Saccharomyces cerevisiae S288C: one gene and its partners. Changing the gene in region 1 together with any one later gene gives a genetic interaction. Each region holds a gene or a part of one and is shown in the gene's direction. Other genes may lie near its edges. The genes, in order: PMT5, EMI2 and ARG80.

The links.
Region 2: mutations in PMT5 (region 1) and EMI2 together harm fitness more than expected from each alone (negative genetic interaction), as found in Saccharomyces cerevisiae (one large-scale study listed by BioGRID).
Region 3: mutations in PMT5 (region 1) and ARG80 together harm fitness more than expected from each alone (negative genetic interaction), as found in Saccharomyces cerevisiae (one large-scale study listed by BioGRID).

What each region holds. Positions count from the first base shown.
Region 1 is NC_001136.10:285,562-291,628, forward strand, and holds the start of PMT5 (putative dolichyl-phosphate-mannose-protein mannosyltransferase PMT5), read left to right. Parts: upstream 1-4,347; coding exon 4,348-6,067. Other genes in the region: proteasome regulatory particle lid subunit RPN6, read right to left, coding at 1-1,134; dolichyl-phosphate-mannose-protein mannosyltransferase PMT1, read left to right, coding at 1,498-3,951. UniProt on the Saccharomyces cerevisiae protein: Protein O-mannosyltransferase involved in O-glycosylation which is essential for cell wall rigidity. Forms a heterodimeric complex with PMT3 and more rarely with PMT2 to transfer mannose from Dol-P-mannose to Ser or Thr residues on proteins.
Region 2 is NC_001136.10:1,471,726-1,479,936, reverse strand, and holds EMI2 (putative glucokinase), read left to right. Parts: upstream 1-3,460; coding exon 3,461-4,963; downstream 4,964-8,211. Other genes in the region: protein disulfide isomerase EUG1, read right to left, coding at 1-1,329; GRH1 (Grh1p), read right to left, coding at 1,580-2,698; SLF1 (Slf1p), read right to left, coding at 5,165-6,508; YDR514C (uncharacterized protein), read left to right, coding at 6,938-8,211. UniProt on the Saccharomyces cerevisiae protein: Putative glucokinase involved in phosphorylation of aldohexoses and glucose uptake. Involved in sporulation. Required for the full activation of the early meiotic inducer IME1.
Region 3 is NC_001145.3:346,238-353,636, forward strand, and holds ARG80 (Arg80p), read left to right. Parts: upstream 1-6,365; coding exon 6,366-6,899; downstream 6,900-7,399. Other genes in the region: stress-responsive transcriptional activator MSN2, read right to left, coding at 1-280; copper chaperone CCS1, read right to left, coding at 1,274-2,023; chromatin-binding transcription coactivator SUB1, read right to left, coding at 2,407-3,285; YET2 (Yet2p), read left to right, coding at 4,144-4,626; D-arabinose 1-dehydrogenase (NAD(P)(+)) ARA2, read right to left, coding at 4,729-5,736. UniProt on the Saccharomyces cerevisiae protein: With ARG81, ARG82 and MCM1, coordinates the expression of arginine anabolic and catabolic genes in response to arginine.

The sequences.
Region 1 (6,067 bases):
GGAGAGCTTTCCTTCAACTTGTTGAGTATCCAGACCGATTATTTTGGAAATGTGGGATATTTCCACACATTCAAATGGCTCAATAATCTTACACAAATTGGACTCTAATAACGTGTCGTATAATGCATTGAAATGGGATCTTGTTAGTTCATCGCCCATTAGTTCCTTCTCGTATTGCTTTAGCGCCGTGTTGAAGTCTAAAAGCGATCTGTTGTTATAAGCCTCAGCGACAGCTTTCATGGCATCAATGCCTCGGGACTGGTACGTTTCCTTTGTGTATTTTGCGTTTAGGATGTTTTTTACGTCATCAATAAGGTTCAGCATGATCTTAGACAATAGCATGTATTTCAACACTTGACATGCCTTTTCGTAGGAATTATGCGTAGTCAAATTGTGGTAGCTTTCAAAACTTTCGAAGAAATACGAAAATGCAGTTTTGTAGTCTTTATCTTCACAGTGCAGGATACCACTCATCAAGTCCAGCTCCGCAACTGTTTGTGTAGGACAGTATATGGAGTTAGCGGCCGTCCTTGCTGCAGTCAACGAGGCCTTGGACTTGGCTAGATTCCTCAGTTTATGGTAAACTTTACTTTCCAATAGATGTACATCAACCAAAGAGGGCTTGTCGTCCAGCTTTTTGAACTCCCTCAAAAGATCGTTAATCAATGCTAATGAGTCCTTGTACTGTTTCTTTTGATAATGTAAGGTGGCCAATTTGATCGAGAGTGAATGCTTCAAAAACACCCTTTTTTCTCTCTTGGCAAATTCGATGCTTTTCTCGCACACAAAGATCTGATCGTCCAAGGAGTCCGGCACTTGCTCGAATTTTTCAATCAACGTTTTCAATACCTTTACCGTTTTGGATTTGGCAAATTGCATCATATACTCCGTAGAATGAGGAATAAACTCGCGCAATTTGTCCTTTGCACCCATAGTCACGTATAACTGTCCTAATTCCAATATGCTTGTCTCCTGTTCATTTCTACGCTTGTCATCCACACTGGCACCGGCAGCGGCGCTGCTCTGTGAGCTGTCTTTATCCAGCAGGCTCAAATAGACTTGTTCTGCCTCATTATACTGTTTTTCATTAACCAGTCTCCTGGCCTCTTCTAATTTCGAACCTGGCAGAGACATGAAGTTCCTCGTTTATAGATTAATCACCAATTGTCCTCTTTCAGCGCTTCTGTTAGTTGGCCTTATTTAACGGATCTTTGCTTCAATTACGCTTTCTACCAACATTTGCCACCCTTGGAACCAGAAGAGAATATACATCATTCGGGGTTGCCCTGCCCATTTATATCGTATATTGTGATGATATACCTTTTTTTTTTTTTTCGCTGCGTTTTTTTTCTCGACACGTGTCGAAGAAGAGTTTGGCGTTTCTAAGCAGATCTTGATTATTTTCGAGCAGCAAAACAAGACAAACAGGTGCATTGTTAAAGCGAGGTAGTATCAGAAGAGCCTATCAAGAAACAGCTAACAGCTACAAGCACGGTCATGTCGGAAGAGAAAACGTACAAACGTGTAGAGCAGGATGATCCCGTGCCCGAACTGGATATCAAGCAGGGCCCCGTAAGACCCTTTATTGTTACCGATCCGAGTGCCGAATTGGCCTCGTTACGAACCATGGTCACTCTTAAAGAGAAGCTGTTAGTGGCCTGTCTTGCTGTCTTTACAGCGGTCATTAGATTGCATGGCTTGGCATGGCCTGACAGCGTGGTGTTTGATGAAGTACATTTCGGTGGGTTTGCCTCGCAATACATTAGGGGGACTTACTTCATGGATGTGCATCCTCCTCTTGCAAAGATGTTGTATGCTGGTGTGGCATCGCTTGGTGGGTTCCAGGGTGATTTTGACTTCGAAAATATTGGTGACAGCTTTCCATCTACGACGCCATACGTGTTGATGAGATTTTTCTCTGCTTCTTTGGGGGCTCTTACTGTTATTTTGATGTACATGACTTTACGTTATTCTGGTGTTCGTATGTGGGTTGCTTTGATGAGCGCTATCTGCTTTGCCGTTGAAAACTCGTACGTCACTATTTCTCGTTACATTCTGTTGGACGCCCCATTGATGTTTTTCATTGCAGCTGCAGTCTACTCTTTCAAGAAATACGAAATGTACCCTGCCAACTCGCTCAATGCTTACAAGTCCTTGCTTGCTACTGGTATTGCTCTTGGTATGGCATCTTCATCCAAATGGGTTGGTCTTTTCACGGTTACATGGGTGGGTCTTTTATGTATCTGGAGACTATGGTTCATGATTGGGGATTTGACTAAGTCTTCCAAGTCCATCTTCAAAGTAGCATTTGCCAAATTGGCCTTCTTGTTGGGTGTGCCTTTTGCCCTTTATCTGGTCTTCTTTTATATCCACTTCCAATCATTAACTTTGGACGGGGATGGCGCAAGCTTCTTTTCGCCTGAATTTAGATCTACACTAAAGAACAATAAGATCCCCCAAAATGTCGTTGCTGATGTCGGCATTGGCTCCATTATCAGCTTGCGTCATCTCTCTACCATGGGCGGTTATTTGCATTCTCATTCACACAATTATCCAGCTGGTTCGGAACAACAACAAAGCACTTTATATCCTCACATGGATGCCAATAACGATTGGTTGTTGGAACTTTACAACGCACCCGGCGAATCTTTAACAACATTCCAAAACCTAACCGATGGTACCAAGGTCAGACTATTCCACACTGTTACAAGATGTAGATTACACTCTCATGACCATAAGCCACCCGTTTCAGAAAGCAGCGACTGGCAGAAGGAGGTTTCTTGTTATGGTTACAGCGGATTCGACGGTGATGCTAATGATGACTGGGTTGTTGAGATTGATAAAAAGAATTCTGCTCCTGGAGTTGCCCAAGAACGGGTCATAGCTTTGGACACAAAGTTTAGATTGAGACATGCTATGACAGGCTGTTATTTGTTTTCCCACGAAGTCAAGTTGCCAGCTTGGGGGTTCGAACAACAAGAAGTTACCTGTGCCTCCTCCGGTAGACATGATTTAACATTGTGGTACGTTGAGAACAACAGTAACCCATTGTTACCAGAAGATACCAAGCGTATTTCCTATAAACCTGCAAGCTTCATTTCTAAATTTATTGAATCCCATAAAAAGATGTGGCATATCAATAAAAATTTGGTCGAACCTCATGTTTATGAATCACAACCAACTTCATGGCCATTCTTGCTACGTGGTATAAGTTACTGGGGTGAAAATAACAGAAACGTCTATCTATTAGGTAATGCGATCGTATGGTGGGCTGTCACCGCTTTCATCGGTATTTTCGGATTGATTGTTATCACTGAGCTGTTCTCGTGGCAGTTAGGTAAACCAATTTTGAAGGACTCCAAGGTTGTTAACTTCCACGTTCAGGTTATTCACTACTTATTGGGTTTTGCCGTCCATTATGCTCCATCTTTCTTAATGCAACGTCAAATGTTTTTGCATCACTACTTACCTGCTTATTATTTCGGTATTCTTGCCCTTGGCCACGCCTTGGACATAATAGTTTCTTATGTTTTCCGCAGCAAGAGACAAATGGGCTACGCGGTAGTGATCACTTTCCTTGCTGCTTCTGTGTATTTCTTCAAGAGCTTCAGTCCAATTATTTACGGTACACCATGGACTCAAGAATTGTGTCAAAAATCGCAGTGGTTGTCTGGTTGGGACTACAATTGTAACACATACTTTTCTTCATTAGAAGAGTACAAAAACCAAACCTTGACTAAACGTGAATCTCAACCTGCCGCCACTAGTACAGTTGAAGAAATCACTATAGAAGGGGACGGTCCGTCGTATGAAGATCTCATGAACGAGGATGGCAAGAAAATCTTTAAAGACACAGAAGGTAATGAACTAGATCCAGAAGTTGTCAAAAAAATGTTGGAAGAGGAGGGAGCTAACATTTTAAAAGTAGAAAAAAGGGCTGTTTTGGAATAAATTTCCCAGTACTCTCCACATTTTTATGTAAAGTCTTCTATAAGCTCTCGAGCGTATAATTAAAAACGAAAATAGACAAAAAAAACATCATGAATAAAAAAAATGTCTTGAAGCTGACTATATTGTCCATCTGCGTTTAGAGACACGTATTCTATTTCGCTCAAATAAGTATGATCTGCAAGTAGTTTCAGTGGTATTATCATTTCGCACCGTTTTTTTTCCAAGAACTCGTTTACGTGCCGCGAAAAGTCTATCGAATAGGCATTCGAGAACAATAGAAAAGGAACAGAAGCGTAGTACATATTATGCATAGACCCGTTTCTTTTCTTCTTTTTCGAAAATATTCTTATTGATTTAACAATTAAGCAGGTGTGTAAGATCATAACTGCTTTAAAGATGAATAAAGAGCATTTGCTGAAGGTGGATCCCATCCCCGATGTGACTATTAAACGCGGCCCTTTGAGGTCTTTTCTCATAACAAAACCCTGTGATAATTTGAGTTCATTACGAACAGTTACTTCATCTAAGGAAAAGCTTCTAGTTGGCTGTTTGCTGATATTTACTGCCATCGTAAGGCTACACAATATCTCCCTGCCAAATAGTGTTGTTTTTGGTGAAAATGAAGTTGGTACATTTGTTTCTCAATACGTGAACAACATATTCTTCACCGATGTTCATCCTCCTTTAGTGGCAATGCTATATGCAACCGTGTCCTCTGTTTTTGGTTATAAAGGGCTTTTCAATTATGGGAACATTGGTACTGAATACACGGCAAACGTTCCATACGTCGCGATGAGGTTCTTTTCTGCTACTTTGGGCATCGTGTCCGTTTTGGTATTATACTTAACGTTACGAGTTTCTGGCGTGAAAATTGCGGTAGCTGCCATTTGTGCAGTATGTTTTGCAATTGAAAACTCCTTTGTAACGTTGTCTCGTTTCACCTTGATAGAGGGACCCTTTGTTTTTTTCATGGCATGTGCAGTTTATTTCTTTAGAAGATCGGAACTTTATTTGCCAAATTCATGTAAAGCAAACAAGTCATTACTTGCTGCGAGCATTGCATTGGGATTTGCAGTTTCTTCAAAATGGGCTGGCCTCTTCACCATCGCATGGGCTGGTATTATTGTCCTTTGGAGAGTATGGTTCATGATTGGTGATTTGTCAAGACCCATTGGTTCTTCTATCAAATATATGGCGTTCCAGTTTACCTGTCTATTAGCTATTCCTGCCTTCATCTATTTTCTCATTTTCAGCGTGCATATTAAGACATTAAACGTGAATGGTATTAGTAGTAGCTTTTTTCCCGCTGAGTTTAGAAAAACTTTAAAATACAACAACGTTATTAAAGAGACTGTGGCAGAAGTTGCAGTGGGTTCCGCTGTTTCACTGAATCATGTTGGAACGGCAGGTGGTTACTTGCATTCTCATCTTCACAATTATCCGGCTGGTTCCATGCAACAACAAGTTACTTTGTATCCTCACATCGACCAAAATAACAAATGGATTATTGAGCTGGCTGAACATCCAAATGAAAATGTCACAAGTTTCCAAAATTTAACCGACGGTACCATAATTAAATTAAGACAGCTTAAGAACGGCTGCAGGTTACACTCACATGACCACAAACCTCCAGTTTCTCAAAATGCGGATTGGCAAAAAGAGGTGTCATGTTATGGATACGAGGGCTTCGAAGGTGATATAAATGATGATTGGATAATTGAAATCGATAAAAAGAGATCAGAGCCGGGACCTGCCCAGGAACATATTAGGGCTATTGAAACCAAATTTAGGCTGAAGCATTATCTAACTGGTTGTTACTTATTTTCACATCCTGAAAAGCTACCTGAGTGGGGATTCGGGCAGCAGGAAGTTACGTGTGCATACTTTGCAAGGGAAGACTTAACTTCATGGTATATTGAAGAAAACGAAAACGAAATTTCTTTGCCAAATCCAGAGAAGGTTTCTTATAAGAAAATGAGCTTTTGGCAGAAGTTTGTTGCTATCCACAAGTTCATGTTCTACCTTAACAATTATATGGATACTAGTCATGCCTACTCATCTGAACCAAAGACTTGGCCTCTTATGTTGCGTGGTATTGATTTTTGGAATGAAAATG
Region 2 (8,211 bases), 1.2 Mb from region 1:
ATCATTTGCCCCTGAATCTACTTCGGCGATCAAGATTTTATCGCGAACAGATTCATCAGATGCTAAGACATTTGCAATTTCTTCGTAAATAGGCGCAAACCTTTTACTATGAATACACCATGTCGCGTAATATTTGACAAGGACATCCTTGTCATCATCATGAACAATGTCGTCATGTGTCTTCCCAACTATTTTATAAACATTGGACTTTTGTTCTTTTGGAATCTCTTCTGACTTAACAATTGGCTTGGCAGTACCTTCACGGTAATCTTTTACCAACTGAACGATCATATCTCTGTCTAGTGGTTGTGGTTTTTCTAATTTCGCGTACTCTTCTTCTGGTAGTTGTGGTAAACCATATTTCAGATTATTGATCATATTATGGATAGCAAATAATGGGAACTGTTCTCTCATATTTAGGAATCTAACGTGGTGTGGGAACATTGTAGAGTTTAATGCAATGAAATTTATTTGGCCACGATTTTCCTTACCTAACTGCGTGAAAAGATCAGTGTAATCTTCCAATTCTTCCTCAGAAGTATAAAAGAAGTAAGCCAACGGCAAATTGCTAGAAATGTACTTGGGGAAGAGATCAGGTTCGATGTCGGTAAAGTAAGGTAAAATTACCACTTTTAACCACTGAGTTAGAGCAACGGAATTTCCGACCAAAGAGTCTACATTTCCATCAAACAGAATTGGTTCTGTAGTGTTTGGCAAGTGGATTGATAATGACTTATCTTCTGAATCTAGAAGGGATAAAAAGACGTAATCCTCAGCAAGGTCCAGTGCGACTTCTTGATACGTTTCATTCAAGCCTGTCAAGCCTCTGTTTATTACTACTGGTAAAGTTGCATTTTCCAAGTATGGTTGGATTTCATCTTCGGAATTTAAATAAATGACAGAAGCCTCGTATAGCTGAATCATGTACTGAGTGATTTCATCGGTGATCTTGACACCGCGATAGACTTGACCATCAAAAATACGACCATTTTTAAAGATTTTCAAGGTTGGGTAGGTATTTATAGTTTGTTGCAGGCAAACCATACTGTTAGCCTCACAATCAATTTGAACAACTGGGACGTTATGCTCCTTTAAAATAGAGGCGGCCTCTTCTAAGTGAGGGCGTAAGATCTGAGAATGCAAACACCATGGAGCAAAAAACTCGACGAGGACTAACGGATGAGATTCGATGAATGATTTAAATTTCTTCTCTGTTAGAACGAGTAAATCTGATCCCGGCGTAGCTCTTGCGCTGTTTTCAGCCAACGTGAAAGAAGCAAACAGGCAAAACGAGACTATCGCAGATATAAATCTTGTGGTCACTTGCATGGTATTATATGAGCGGGTGCTTGTTGGGAGATTGCCATATAATTGAAACGTCAAGTCTTGGAAATTGAAACTTTCTGAATGCTAAAATATCTATTGTCTTAACAAAAAAGGACACGCGTGCCTTTGAAAAAAAGTCTCGGTACTTTTCGTACATTGCCAACTATCGTTTACGTGTTTTGAAGGGAAAGCAAGCTTATATATATATATTTAATTTTGCTATGAAACAAAACCAAAAGACTAACCAGGAAAGTTAATCAGAGGATGACTGTTTTTGTGGTGGTGGGGCGAGGATGTCAGATTCTGCTGACTTCGCAGCGGTAGATGACTTATCTCTGCCTTCATTAAAATAGTCATCCATTGCCAATGGCTGGGTACCCTTTTTATTTTTTGATTTCTTCTTTGTTGGCACCGGTGGTGCTGTGAATGCTGATGGCACAAAAGCCGTCTCAGATTCTACTGGAACAGGAACAGGAACAGGGTTGTCATCTTGCCCCTGCTGCTGTGCTTGTTGTGGACAGTGCTTTACTGTTGGAATCCTGTGAAGAAACCCGTATCCAACGTTGCAACCCAACCTGCCGTCGGGACCTATATGAACTGTGATTGGTCTCACACAGTCAGAAACTTTGTTGTAGACATAAAGGACCAGATCGTAGTTTGCTCTTGATCTAACAATATCTTGTAAAAGCGTCTCCCCTCCCGTGGCCAACAGGCCATCTTGGCAGCCGATAATGTAGTCTTCATCTGGGATGAGCCCTGCCGATTGGGCGGGTCCATCTGGGATGTTCACGTTCAGGATATGGTATGTGAAAGTGGAAGCTATCAAAGGCGTCCATTGGACTTTGAACCCGAGTGCTTGGAACTGGTGCGCTTCCCCACTAGATGGCCTCCTCTCGTCATGGTTTAGAGAAACATCGTCCAAATCGTCGCTCTCCTTCGATATAATGCTGATATACTCGTCTCTGAACGTGCCTCCTTTAGCTGACCATATGTTGACCTTCAAAGTTCGGCCACAGTGTTCATTGAAGATGGATGTGATACGACGGTAATCTGGGTACGAAAATCCGTGTTGATTACTGACCACCGGCACCGGATCATCATTGAAACCTACTATATAGTCGAAAAAGGACTGCAGTTGGAACTGCATCTCGTCCACCCAAACAATGCGGAGACCGGAAAGCGTTTCATTGACGTTGGTGTGCTTAACACCTTCAGAAACCGCATCTACGGGTGATTCCAACTGAGCAGACAACAAATTTGGTGGTATAGACTGAAAGAAAGCGTCCAGATTGCTCGAGTCCTGCGAGAGTGCCAGGGTATCTTGCACGCTCTGCTCAAAAGTCCGTACGAGGTTTTTAGCTATTCTAAACATAGTTCTTCTTCCTATACCTTTTTACTTCCCTAGTTTCGCACGCTGTGTCGGTCGCAGTTACAGTAGTAGTCTCAGCACCCCTGTTCTTGGTCCTGATCCCGTTGCGACAAGCCCATTTCTTTTATGATAGCCAAAATGCAACTAAACCTCGTCGTCGTCGGCTTGCGTGTCCGCCGCGAAGACAGAAAAATAACGAAACGAACTTAATAGAAACGACCTAGATTTTATTTGGAAGCCAGCCCGATGCTATCTTCAAAATGGCTGTCACTGGGTGCAAAGGCGGTGGGAGAGCCCATTAAGTAATTTAATCGGGTTGTCTCACCAATGTTAGCCACAACGCAACGCTACGTCGCCACTCTGGCAGCCACCGCAACGAGCAGTAGCAACTACTTTCGGGTGGGCCCTTCAGGGGTAGTTGCCTGCGTCTTTGTTCGAAGAATCAAGTGACAAAAAACGCGGGGCATCCAGAAAGTCTTTTTGTGTGTGTCGTCGAAAGGGAAAGTGAGAGAGTGAGAGTGAATTAGTGTTTGTGTGTGTGGAAGACAGAGGAAGAAGATCGGGTCGTCGAATTCTATTATGCTTGCGATGCAGGGGGGGGAAACATGTATTCGGGATTATATAAAGTCGATTCTGTGTAAGTGTAAAATCTCATCTTGTCTCGTGTTCTTTTGTACGTCTCATACTTATAGGAAGTTTAAATAGAAACAGATATCAGTGTATCAAGGAAGAATTGTACAAGAATCGAATCATAGATACACAGTAATGTCATTTGAAAATTTACATAAAGTCAATGCTGAGGCATTGGAAGATGCAGTGGTTGAGATCTGCTCCTCATTGCAGGTTGATGCAGCAAAGTTGGACGAACTAACAGCGTACTTCATTGAATGTATGGAAAAGGGGTTGAATAACACCTCTGTAGGCGAAGAAAAGACGGTGGACAAGGGTCTACCCATGATCCCTACATATGTAACCAGTTTGCCCAATGGGACGGAACGTGGTGTTTTGCTGGCTGCAGATTTAGGTGGGACTCACTTCAGAGTGTGTTCTGTGACTTTGAATGGTGACGGAACCTTTGATATGCAGCAATTGAAGTCTAAGATTCCGGAAGAATATCTAAATGACAAGGATGTCACCAGCGAGGAGCTGTTTAGCTACCTGGGTCGCCGTACAAGGGCCTTCGTTAGGAAGCATCATCCTGAGTTGTTGAAGTCCACGGGGGAGAACATAAAACCTTTGAAAATGGGATTTACCTTCTCATATCCCGTTGACCAAACCTCTTTGAGTTCCGGTACTTTAATCAGATGGACCAAAAGCTTCAAGATTGAAGACACGGTCGGCAAGGATGTCGTGAGGTTATACCAGGAGCAATTAGACATTCAGGGGCTCTCTATGATTAATGTGGTAGCTTTGACCAACGACACGGTTGGCACTTTCCTATCCCACTGCTACACTTCAGGCTCTCGTCCATCGAGTGCTGGTGAGATTAGCGAGCCTGTCATTGGTTGTATCTTTGGTACTGGTACTAACGGTTGCTATATGGAGGATATTGAAAACATCAAGAAGCTACCAGATGAGCTCAGAACAAGACTGCTGCATGAAGGAAAAACCCAAATGTGCATCAACATCGAATGGGGTTCTTTCGACAATGAATTGAAACATTTGTCTGCTACAAAGTATGACATCGATATTGACCAAAAATTTTCTCCAAATCCAGGTTACCATCTATTTGAAAAAAGAATTTCCGGCATGTACTTGGGTGAGCTGTTAAGGAACATCCTGGTGGACTTGCATGCAAGGGGCTTAATCTTGGGACAGTATCGTAATTACGATCAATTACCTCACCGTTTAAAGACTCCTTTCCAATTGTGCAGTGAAGTTCTTTCCAGGATTGAAATCGATGATTCGACAAACTTGCGTGAAACTGAATTGTCGTTTTTGCAGAGTTTGAGGCTACCGACCACTTTTGAAGAACGTAAAGCAATTCAAAATCTGGTCCGTTCCATTACGAGAAGGTCTGCATATCTAGCAGCCGTTCCGATTGCCGCCATCCTAATCAAGACAAACGCTTTGAACAAAAGATATCACGGTGAGGTAGAAATTGGTTTTGACGGTTATGTCATCGAATACTATCCTGGATTCAGATCCATGCTGAGACATGCTTTGGCATTAAGTCCAATTGGCACTGAGGGTGAACGTAAGATACATTTGCGTCTAGCCAAAGATGGGTCCGGTGTTGGCGCAGCTTTGTGTGCTCTGGTGGCATAAAACATATCTGTTCTTAACAGCTTATTTTTAGTTTGTTTTCGTTTTCCTCTATATAAATATCTTATGTATCTGTTATATAAAAAATTATTTAGTACGAATTGAAATGAAATGTTATGTTATATTTTTAGAGAGAATCTGCTATTACTTTATACATGTTAACTATATACATAATAAAAAAAAAAAAAAAAATATTGTCTAAAATTAATCATTTATTTGTAAGTTTTGTTCAAACTGCCTGCTAATTTCACCTTGGTCATAGCTCTGACTCTTTTTCCCATTTTCATTACTGGGAAAGAAGTTTGGATAGCCCATATAAGAATAATTGTCTAAATCGTTCGGTCCCAATAGTTTCTCAATGTTGTATTTTTCAGTTTCGTCATCATTTTCATCAAAATTACTTTCCATAGCGTATTCAGCCCAATTTTCGCGCCTAATAAAATAGTTTTCCAATGGATTGAAATCATCTGCCATGTTCTTCTGAGCACCTTCTATGCTTCCAAGGGCAATTTCCAAATGGTTTGTTTCTTTATGTTGTAAAACTTCTCTCATAGATGCCAAAATTAAATTTGGGTCTCCACCAAGAGATAAATTAACCATACGGTAAAATTTCCCTATCAAACTCATGGGGATAAATCCGTCATTGGCTTTTTTGAATTTAGATCTTAAAAATTCATCTGTTTTCAAGTTCTCTTCACTAAAATAGAATTCAATTTGGTTTTTGATACTTTCGATAGATTTAAAAATAGGTTCCATTGAGTAATAATATGGTGTTTGCAATTGTTGTTGATAGTTGATGTTATTATAATACTGCTGTTGACGGAAGTATGACAGTTGTTTATAGCTATTTCTTGAATTGTTGTTCAACCAGTGGCTGGCATTGGGAATATATTCAGGTCTAGCCTGATAATTATTTGGGAAGGAGATGGCATTATTAGCCGCCTGACTGTGTCTACTATTGTTGTTGTATCTTGTTTTGCCATTCCTGTTTTGATAATTTCTTGATTGTCTACCGTTGGTTGAATTGTTGTTGTTTGTTATCCTCTTTATATTCCCATTGGCAGTTGCTCCTGAGCTTGAATGTATGTTTACTTTAGCGTTAGCATCTAAAGGTTTGGATTCAAGATTGGAAACGTTACTTATTTCCGATGTACTGTTGGTTTGACCGTTAAAGTCCTTTTTATTGATATCGTTATTATATTTGCCACGCTTTTTCATTTTTTTATTAGTCTTAGAATTTTTAGAGTTCTTTCCTGACTTTGAATTTGTGTCCTTGGAACCTGAGATTATAACAGACGGCGTAATTGGAGTCCATTTGGTATTGCTTGTTAATTTAATTGACCCCGAACCATTTTTACTTGGCTTTGCAGTCTTTGATATATCTCTTAGTTCCTCTACAGGAATTACTGTATTGCTATCTGGCGAAGATGATTTCCATGGCGATGTGGTTGGTATTGGTGCCAACTTTAAGGATGAAGTTTGTTTCTTCTTATCTTCAGCTGCTGAGGATGTATTTTTTGGATTATCATTGAGGTTTTGCGATGACATTTTTGAATTCACTTTATGATTGATTTTCTTTATCTTGGTTATATTTTTGGGCTCTCTCGTTTATTTAACGCCACCCTAAATTGTGTCTTAACAATACGCTTCCTCTCAGTATTTTTTTTTAAATAAAAAAATATGATAGAACTGCTGAACACTACTTTTTAAAACCTTTTAATAAATAGACAAGTGTCAACCAAGGATGTGCCAATTTTCCTTTGTGATTCAGCTGCGCTTGTATGTGCTTCCAGCTTTACTTTTACTAATTTTTTCATAAGCACAAAATAGTAAGATCTTTTTTCTCTTGGCGGTGAAAAATTTTGATTCGATGGATCAATAACATACTGCAAAAAACGGTTTGAGGACATATGAATACTGCATTTACTAGTAATTTGCCTAGTATATAGTTTGACTACACAGATTATAAGCTATTGTATGAGTAGCTCCACAAAGTGCAAGAAAGCATACGAAGCGGTAGTCAAAATGGTTACGCATAGATTCAACTCCAAAGCAGTCCGCAATTACCATCAACCACAAGGTTTAAACAGGAGTCTGGCAACCCGCAATGCAGCTAGAGTTAGGGGTATGGTCCCTTCAAGAAGAGGGGGCGTGGGACTGTATAAGAGTTCAAGTAGCAAGTTGATGAATAAACTAGGAAGACAAAAGACATGGATAAATGAGTTTGAACATTTTAATTCTCTGCACGAAATTGCATATACCCCTAACATTGCGTTAAGTAGTGAAATCCAAAAATATTTAAAGGCATTGGAAACAAACTATCGGTCCATCTATGAGAAAAGTTCAGAATTACTGGATAAGAAGCTGGAAGAAATTGACAAGAAATGGATAGAGAAAAACGGGTGTATACCTGATGCATCTAAAGACGATGTGGAGAAAAATCTAAGAAAGCAATATTTAGCAGATGTACAGGACGTAAAAAACGAACATATACCTGTGATGAATTGTGAACCTGGTGGGTCTCAGTTCAAGTATCTCTGTAAAACTATTGAGTTATTATCATCCAACAAGACAATTTGTTTTGCCATCGATGTAGAGGCATTTGAATTTGATACAGACATTGTTACAGAGATTGGCATCGCCATATATGATCCAAGAGAAAACATTTATTCCTTGATGCCGATTATAAGAAGTTATCATTTAATTGTTGCTGAAGCGTTACCGTTAAGAAACAAGAAATTCGTATGCGACTTTAAAGACTGCTTTTTACTTGGAGAAAGTCTTGTATTACCATTGGAACAATGTGTAGAGTTCATTCAGTCGTTGATTAATTTCTATATGAAATGTGAGACGGACCAAGATACAACCTGGGAAAGAGCGTTTGTGGGTCATGCTATAGCGGGGGATATTAAGTGGCTGAAGAAAATTGGGGTCCATGTACCTGAATTGGATAATGAACTTACCAAACCGGAGGACTCAACGGAGAGCAAAGGTGTTAGAAAACATGTTAAGATGCTTGACACAGAGAAAATTTATAGCATGTGTTATGGCAAGAAGGGTAGCAGTTTAGGTAAACTACTAAGGCTTTTTCACTTGCCACATGCCTTCTTACATAACGCAGGCAATGATGCATATTACACGTTGCTCCTGATGCTGAAGTTAGGAGATTATAACTTTAGAAAGCAAATTGGGGCAGATGATTTAGAAACAATGGGATATAGGATAAGAGAATGGTTTAAGCGTGAGGCGGA
Region 3 (7,399 bases), on another chromosome or scaffold:
TCAAATGCAAGCTGTTATCGGTAGTGGATGGTATCGTTTCCGTTACGGGCAGTGGAGAGTCGAAAGATAGTGGAGGAAGCCCCAAATTCAGTGAAGTTTCTTGATTTTGAATGTCATTGAGATCCGCACTATCTAAGACAGTGTTTTTGATATCTAGAGAATACGGGATAACATCGTTGTTAATATTATTTGGGTTATTATTCTCCACGTATTGTATACTACTCATGCTTTCTATGGGGAATAAAATATCTTCGCTATTGAAATCATGGTCGACCGTCATTTTAGATCTAGTTCTTCTATGAGCAATAAAAGTTGAAAAAAGAAAGAAAAAATAAAGCAAATAAAACCAAAGAAAAAAAGGTAGCCTCTTGGCGTATGAAATACCTTGCTACTACTGTTGTGATCTTCCCGAAAAATATGAGGAAGATACCGATAAAGTAAGGAAGAAAAAAGCAATATCTTTTTTTTTTTGAACTTTTCGTATTACAGACTAGTTTCTGTTATCTCCAAGGTTTCCGTCTGTTTTATTTTCGTGTAACACAGTTTCTAACTGGGAAGTCTTGTTGAGCTCGTGCTGCTTTCTTACTATTACCAAACAGGAAGGCAAAAAAAGGGAACACGGTTTACGCGATAAAAGTAAAAGGGCCAAGTCTGACTGGTGCTGATATCAGGCAACAAACACCACTTTGTTCTGCTATTTGTCTTTATTACCTGTCTCTTTCGCTGGAAACAACAAATATAAATAAGTAAGTGTCAATACTATATGTTGTCTGTAGAGGGGAAATTGTATATATTTTCGGTGTCTTGTTTTTCTTTTCCGCAGTTTGTTTTTCCCATTCTGATTTTCTGAAATTCGTAAAAAGGTGTTTTTTTCGTATAAATGGCTCTCTTTAATTTATTAGAGACAAAAAGAGCCGATATGTATGACGTAGACAGATGGTGTCAAGAACCGGCTTGGCTGCTACGGAATGCGTAGCTGAACGCCGTGGTTTCCGGAGAAAGACGAAAGATCAACTCCGGCCGTCTGGCCAGGAACGATAGGTGCTGGAGATAAGTGAGGTACGGATACCAAGAGCGAAATACCTCTTTAGGTACGTTCCGGGCCGTTGTTGCCGGCGAAACCGGAGGGACAAGGCAATATGAAGTAGGATTGGAAACCGGCTTTGGCATATTGCCACATGCGTATGTACATGTCCGGCATCACGTGGTTATGATGTAGTATACTATATTATGTTATATCTGTATTACGCTACGTTGTGCTATCTTGGATGTTCTATTTGATGTTGTTGGCCAAGGCATCTTTTCTCTCTTCCCAAACAGTCTTTCCGGTACACGCACACACTTGTTTATTATTTTCCCACACACCAGCGCTTCTCGCAATGACTCCCAGAAATGAGTAGTCCTTAACGGAGGAAGGCTCGTTTTCTGGGTGGTTCAGAGACTTGGAAATGACAAAGCTGCGGCCGATAAGTTGCCATGTTGGCAAGGGAGCGCTCAGAAAGGTCTTCCCACTGTACAAGTTCTTGCCCAAATCACTCTCGTTGAAGCATTCAATGGGTTCGTCGAACTTGTGCCAAACTTTACCAGTAGATTCCACGCCCTTGGAGACGTCGCCTTTCTCGTGAATGCTGGCGTGGTAATTTCCCGCCTCTGGGACGCCATTTACAGTGATGTCAAAAAGAGTCTTATTCTCTCCAACCTGAACGATTCTTGCTAGGCCCCTCACGGCGGTGTCCTTTTTCTGGTCTATAGTATATTTTTGAAAGGTCTCTAAGATAGCGACCGCGGAAGAATTCGGCTTCCCGGCGCCTCTTATGATGGCGTCTTTACCACAGTTTCGCAAGGTGTTGATGATGGTTGAAGGGGCTACTGAGCTTTCCACGCTCATTATTTGTTGCTCTATATCGAAATTCAATGAATTGATTCCTGGGACATTTTTTAGGCATGCCTTTATATCATTCACGCAATTTTCACAGTGCATGGGAATGGCATAAGTAGCCTCGTATGTATCGTTCGTGGTCATTTTTGTGCTGATCGAATGGGTTTCTGCCTTGCAAAGATATCTTTATTCTTTTCTTAGTCTAAATTTTTTTTTTTTGGCTTGCCTTTAATATATTATTTTTCCGAACAATGAATTTTTACCCTCTTCCATTCTCACTGTGTACTAGTTGTACGGGGAAAATGCTTAGTAAGCGCAAATTTTTTTTTGATAGTATATTATACTGAAATGTACAAGATTAACTTTTGTCTGGTTATTATAAATCACATATTTGATTATATGAATTGTTAAAATGAATTTGACAAACAGAAAAGTATATATTTTTATTTCTTTTTTTTTTTTTTTATTCTCTAATAAGCTCGTTGGATGGAAGACGTTGACATAAGCAAGCTCAACTTCCAGGACTATTATTCTTCTTCACTTATGTCGTCTTCAGCCTTGTTCATTTCAGCTTCCAAGCTTTGAGCAAATTCTTCGTCACTAGAATTTGCATCTTTTGACTCGTTTATGTTGGAGACAATATCTTCTTTTTTAGCTTGAAGTGTGGGTACAGGTTCAGGTTCAGGTTCAGCTATCTTTTCTTTTGCCTTTGCCTCTTTCTCTTGTTCTGCAACTGCTTTTGCCTTTGCCTCCTCTGCCTCTTCTTTTTCCTTTTGCTTGCGTTCCTCTTGTTGTTTCCTACCTGCCTGGCCTGGGATGATCAAAGTAGCATTGGCTTCTCTTTCAGCGTTTTGAATGTTTTCCTCGTGTGGAAGTAGAGTAGGTGGAGCAGGTTTCTTCTTCTTTGAACGTGGCTCCAAGTCATGACTCTCATTAGATGCTTTGGACTTATCTTCTCTCCTCTTCTTTGGGCTGTTCTTGTCCTTCCCGTTTTTATCCTTGTCGTTATTAGTACTGTCATTATTGTTATCATCTTCATATTCGTCGTCGGACAATAGTCTAACCATTTTGGTTTTTGGTCTCTTGGATCCTAGCCTTCTCAAGGCTTCATCAATATTCAATCTGTGCTTAAGCAATTCGTCGTATAGATCTTCTGTCAACGAAATACCTTTCTTCCCAGGTTTCATTTCGCCTGTAGATGAGTCCAGATAGTACTCACGGATATCAATTAAATTTATGTTTCTAAATTGTCTTACCGTGACCCTCTTATTTTTACCCAGATCAAAAATTGCATCTGATGCGGATAGTCCAGATGGCATACCACCATTGTTATTGTTACTGTTACTTAAGTTTCCTCCACCATTATCGCTTCTTCTTTTGTTCCTATACCTGTTGTAATATGACATAGCGCTTGTGTTTGTATATATGTCGAAAAATTGATGTGTACGGAAAGATTTAATATTAAATAGCTTTCTTAAGTGGGCAACCAAAAGTGTTTCTTTGATTGGGGACTTTTACAAAATTCACGTTTACAACCTCTTCTCTTGTCTTCCTATCGTTCCCTGGATCAAATTAAGAATTTTCATCAAGAATAGAGAGCAGAAGGCAAGCCAAGAGAGAAAAAGAAAGAGAGAAAGAAAGAAAGGAGAGGAAGAGGAGATGAAAAGAGAGGAAAACTTGAGTTTTGATAAAGAAATTTGAGGAAGGTAAAAGTAAAATTCCCATTCAAATGAATGTATTAATAAATTCTCATCATTAAAAGGAGGGAAAAATTACGTATAACGTAAAGATAAAACGTGTGTGTGTGCAGTGCTATACTCATTGTCCTTGTTAGTGATGATAATTCGTCCCAGCTGAAAAAACTCAAAATAAGTATTACCCGGATCGAGGCTGTGGCATTTAGCGCCGCTGTCTTGACCATCCACCAATGGTTGATAATAACATCGGATGATCAGCCCATTTTTGGTGTATTACTATCCCATCTCATTCTTCCAAAAAACACGTATATATCATTGACGAGATCGAGATACGTCTGCTGTGTTTAACGGCTAACTTGGTTGTGTAGGCTTGTGTCAATTAGGCAAAATGGTTTTCTTGGAAAAAAGACAAGGGAAAAAAAAGGGTTGATAGAGCAATATATGTACAGCTGGCCTTCTCTGAGAAAAGCTAGCCGCCTGGAAGTAAATAAATACGCTGAGTGTTCGTTGGAGCATGAATTATGTGAATAGAAAAATACTAAGCAAAATTTCAAAGTCGAGTTAGTGATGGGTGTTTATTTGGCAGTACTCTTTTCGTTACTGGTCATCGAAATGGCCATTCTGTTTATTTTGGTACTTCCGCTTCCACAGCGTATGAGAAGGTGGCTGTATATACGCTACAGTATCATAAGTACTAATAAGAAATTCAGAACTTATATGGTTGGAATCATGATCTTCGTTGGTCTTTTGTTCATCGATTCATGGAAAAGGTCACAGATCAGAGTGTCTACGTACCGCAACCAGAAAAATCCCTATATAATAAATAGTGTAACCCCAGTGGATGCACTGGCTTCAAGGGCATATAACCAAAGGAATGTTTACATTTCAGGCTTCATCATCTACTTTTATATATGTATACTCACCGTGATGAGTATATTGCGAAGAATAGTGGAATGGAATGACAAAATGAAGGCTGGAGATGACATTCTGAAGGAAAAGTTAAGACGAAAGCAAAAATATTTAGAGGAATTGCAGAAGAAGAAATTTTAAAAGGAAAAAACTAAAAAAGAAGAAAAGGAAAAACTTACATATGTAAATAGAACAAATGAATATAAACTAAAATTTGACAAATTTTTTTTCTTTTTGGGGTGATTATATCATTTCTGGATGAGGAATACCTGAAGACCACTCTTCATTAAAATGTTCTTTAAAAATATTCTTTTGGATATATTCTACTAGTTGTCCGTCCTTAGAAGATAATCTGTTGCCATTCGATTTCACAATTTCGTAATTATCCAGAGCAAGTTTCAATTCTTCCATGCTACTGACTCCAAGAACAACGGGTCCCTTTCCTACCCATTCCGAAATCGCGTATCTTGTGGCCAAATCGGCTAAGTCGACATTTTGTTCTTGACAGTATTTGGCAGCCTGAGATGCGCATTCTCTCAATTCATGAGAACACGGGTGAAACTGTCTTGTCTCCTGTGACCTTAGTAGCGACATGCTCAAGATTGATGCGTTGCAAACCATTTTCAGTTTAGCATTGCGTAGCAGTCTTTCTCGAAAGTTCAATAGCTTATTGTTTTGTAAGTTCAAGTTACAATAGGACAATACTGCATCCAATGACCCAATATCACTTTCCTCGGTAGAGCAGTACTCAGCAAGCCAGGTGATAAAGTCGATTGGGTAGCCTGATATGCCAAAATTTTTGATAACTCCTTTGTTCTTCAAGGTCCTCAATTCCTTTAATGCCTCTAAGATGTCTGGAAATTTGACAAACTCGACATCGTGCAAGTACACCAAATCGAGATATGTAGTGTGTAATCTTTCGCACGATCTGTGAACACTAAATCTCACGAAATCTCTAGAATAGTTAAACTCTTCCGCACCAATACGCCCAACCTTTGTGCATATAAAATAAGTGTCTCTGGGAAATTCATTCCTTAAATTGGACAGTGCCCTACCATAAAGAACCTCACTAGGGCCATAGTAGGGAGAAGTGTCAATTGCATTGATACCATGCGAAAATGCGTATTTGATTATGTCTTCCAGTGGAATGGATTCTGGCTCATCTGTATATTGCTGGTTCAGTATTGCACCTCCTAAGACTAAAGGAGAAACCGAAGCTAAGTCGAATGGATTCACTTTTTCATTAACCATCTTATAGTCTCCGTTGTTACTCTTTTATTTATGTGTACTCTTCCTTCCTGTTAACAGAGTAGATAAATATAGGCTTTAAACTTACCGTGTACTGAAACCCAGAAGGCAGCTTTCTTTTTTCCAGAAAGTAAAATAATGACAAAAAAATCGACTACATATGCACAATGCTAAGTTATATGACACTTTCTTTCTTATCCTCACTTATCCATAAGACACCCCTCTTCTTCAGAGAATTTGGTAAGCAATTTCATGTATTTCCATGAGAATGGGCTCGCATCCCAGAGCGCAACTAATATATGAATATAAGCGGATTTAGCTCAGTTGGGAGAGCGCCAGACTGAAGAAATACTTCGGTCAAGTTATCTGGAGGTCCTGTGTTCGATCCACAGAATTCGCATTAATTTTTTTTTACTTTTCATTCGTTTTCCTCTTTTGGTGATGAGCAGCATCACAGAAGCGGGTGGGTCATCCATTATTAGACGGTAAGTGAAAAAAATTTGATGATTCAGGTGAACCGCTATGGAAAGGCACGTAGTTCTACTTACTCCTAGCAAGTAGCTATGCGATTTTCCTGCGCCATTTTTTTTCCCACATTAGTTACATACACTCTCTAAAGAATATTGCTAAATATGACGTCGAATAGCGACGGTTCAAGTACCAGTCCAGTTGAGAAACCAATTACCGGCGATGTTGAAACTAATGAACCTACCAAACCAATACGGCGGCTTTCAACGCCATCGCCAGAACAAGATCAAGAAGGCGATTTCGACGAAGAAGACGATGATGACAAATTCAGCGTGAGCACATCAACTCCCACCCCAACCATAACGAAAACTAAGGACAGCAGCGACACAAGTACGGTTACGAGGCGGAAGCAGCCGATCAGGTACATCGAGAATAAGACCCGGAGACATGTCACCTTCTCGAAGAGGCGGCACGGGATCATGAAAAAAGCATATGAGCTCTCCGTCCTAACCGGCGCCAATATTCTGCTTCTAATTCTGGCAAACTCTGGCCTGGTCTACACTTTCACAACGCCTAAGCTCGAGCCGGTGGTACGGGAAGACGAGGGTAAGAGCCTCATCAGGGCATGCATCAATGCTTCAGACACTCCTGACGCTACCGACACGTCGCCGGCACAGGAACAATCTCCGGCAAACTGAACATGCGAGAGTAAGAGATGCCCCACGAAGGCATAGGCAGATCCATATAGCACAATACGCGCATATAAAGTAGCATTGCTGCCAAAGGGGGTTGCACAAGGAGTTGCCCTCCTTCGGCACGCGGCTCGGAACATACCGGAGTGTCCCCCTTTGAGTAATTTTTCTCAAAAGAGGCACTTTTGCGCTGGGCCGCAGGAAATTTCCCTTTCTGTTCAGCACCTGTTGTCCTATATTAAGCTGTGCCAAACAAGGTCATCTCCAAATACTTACCAAAAAGCTAGGGCGTACTGTACTGGAATCTCTGCTTTTTTCTTTACCTTACTTCAATTTGCCTTGTCTGCTTTTTTACGTGTGTTTTGGCGTTTCTGCTTTTCTTTTTTATTACTCGTTGTTGTAAATCATTTTCTAAGTATTATACATACTATATCATCGCATACCCAATCGGTTTCCTATTCTCACCACTTTTTTCTGGAAAAATACATAGCCTAACAAGCAATTTT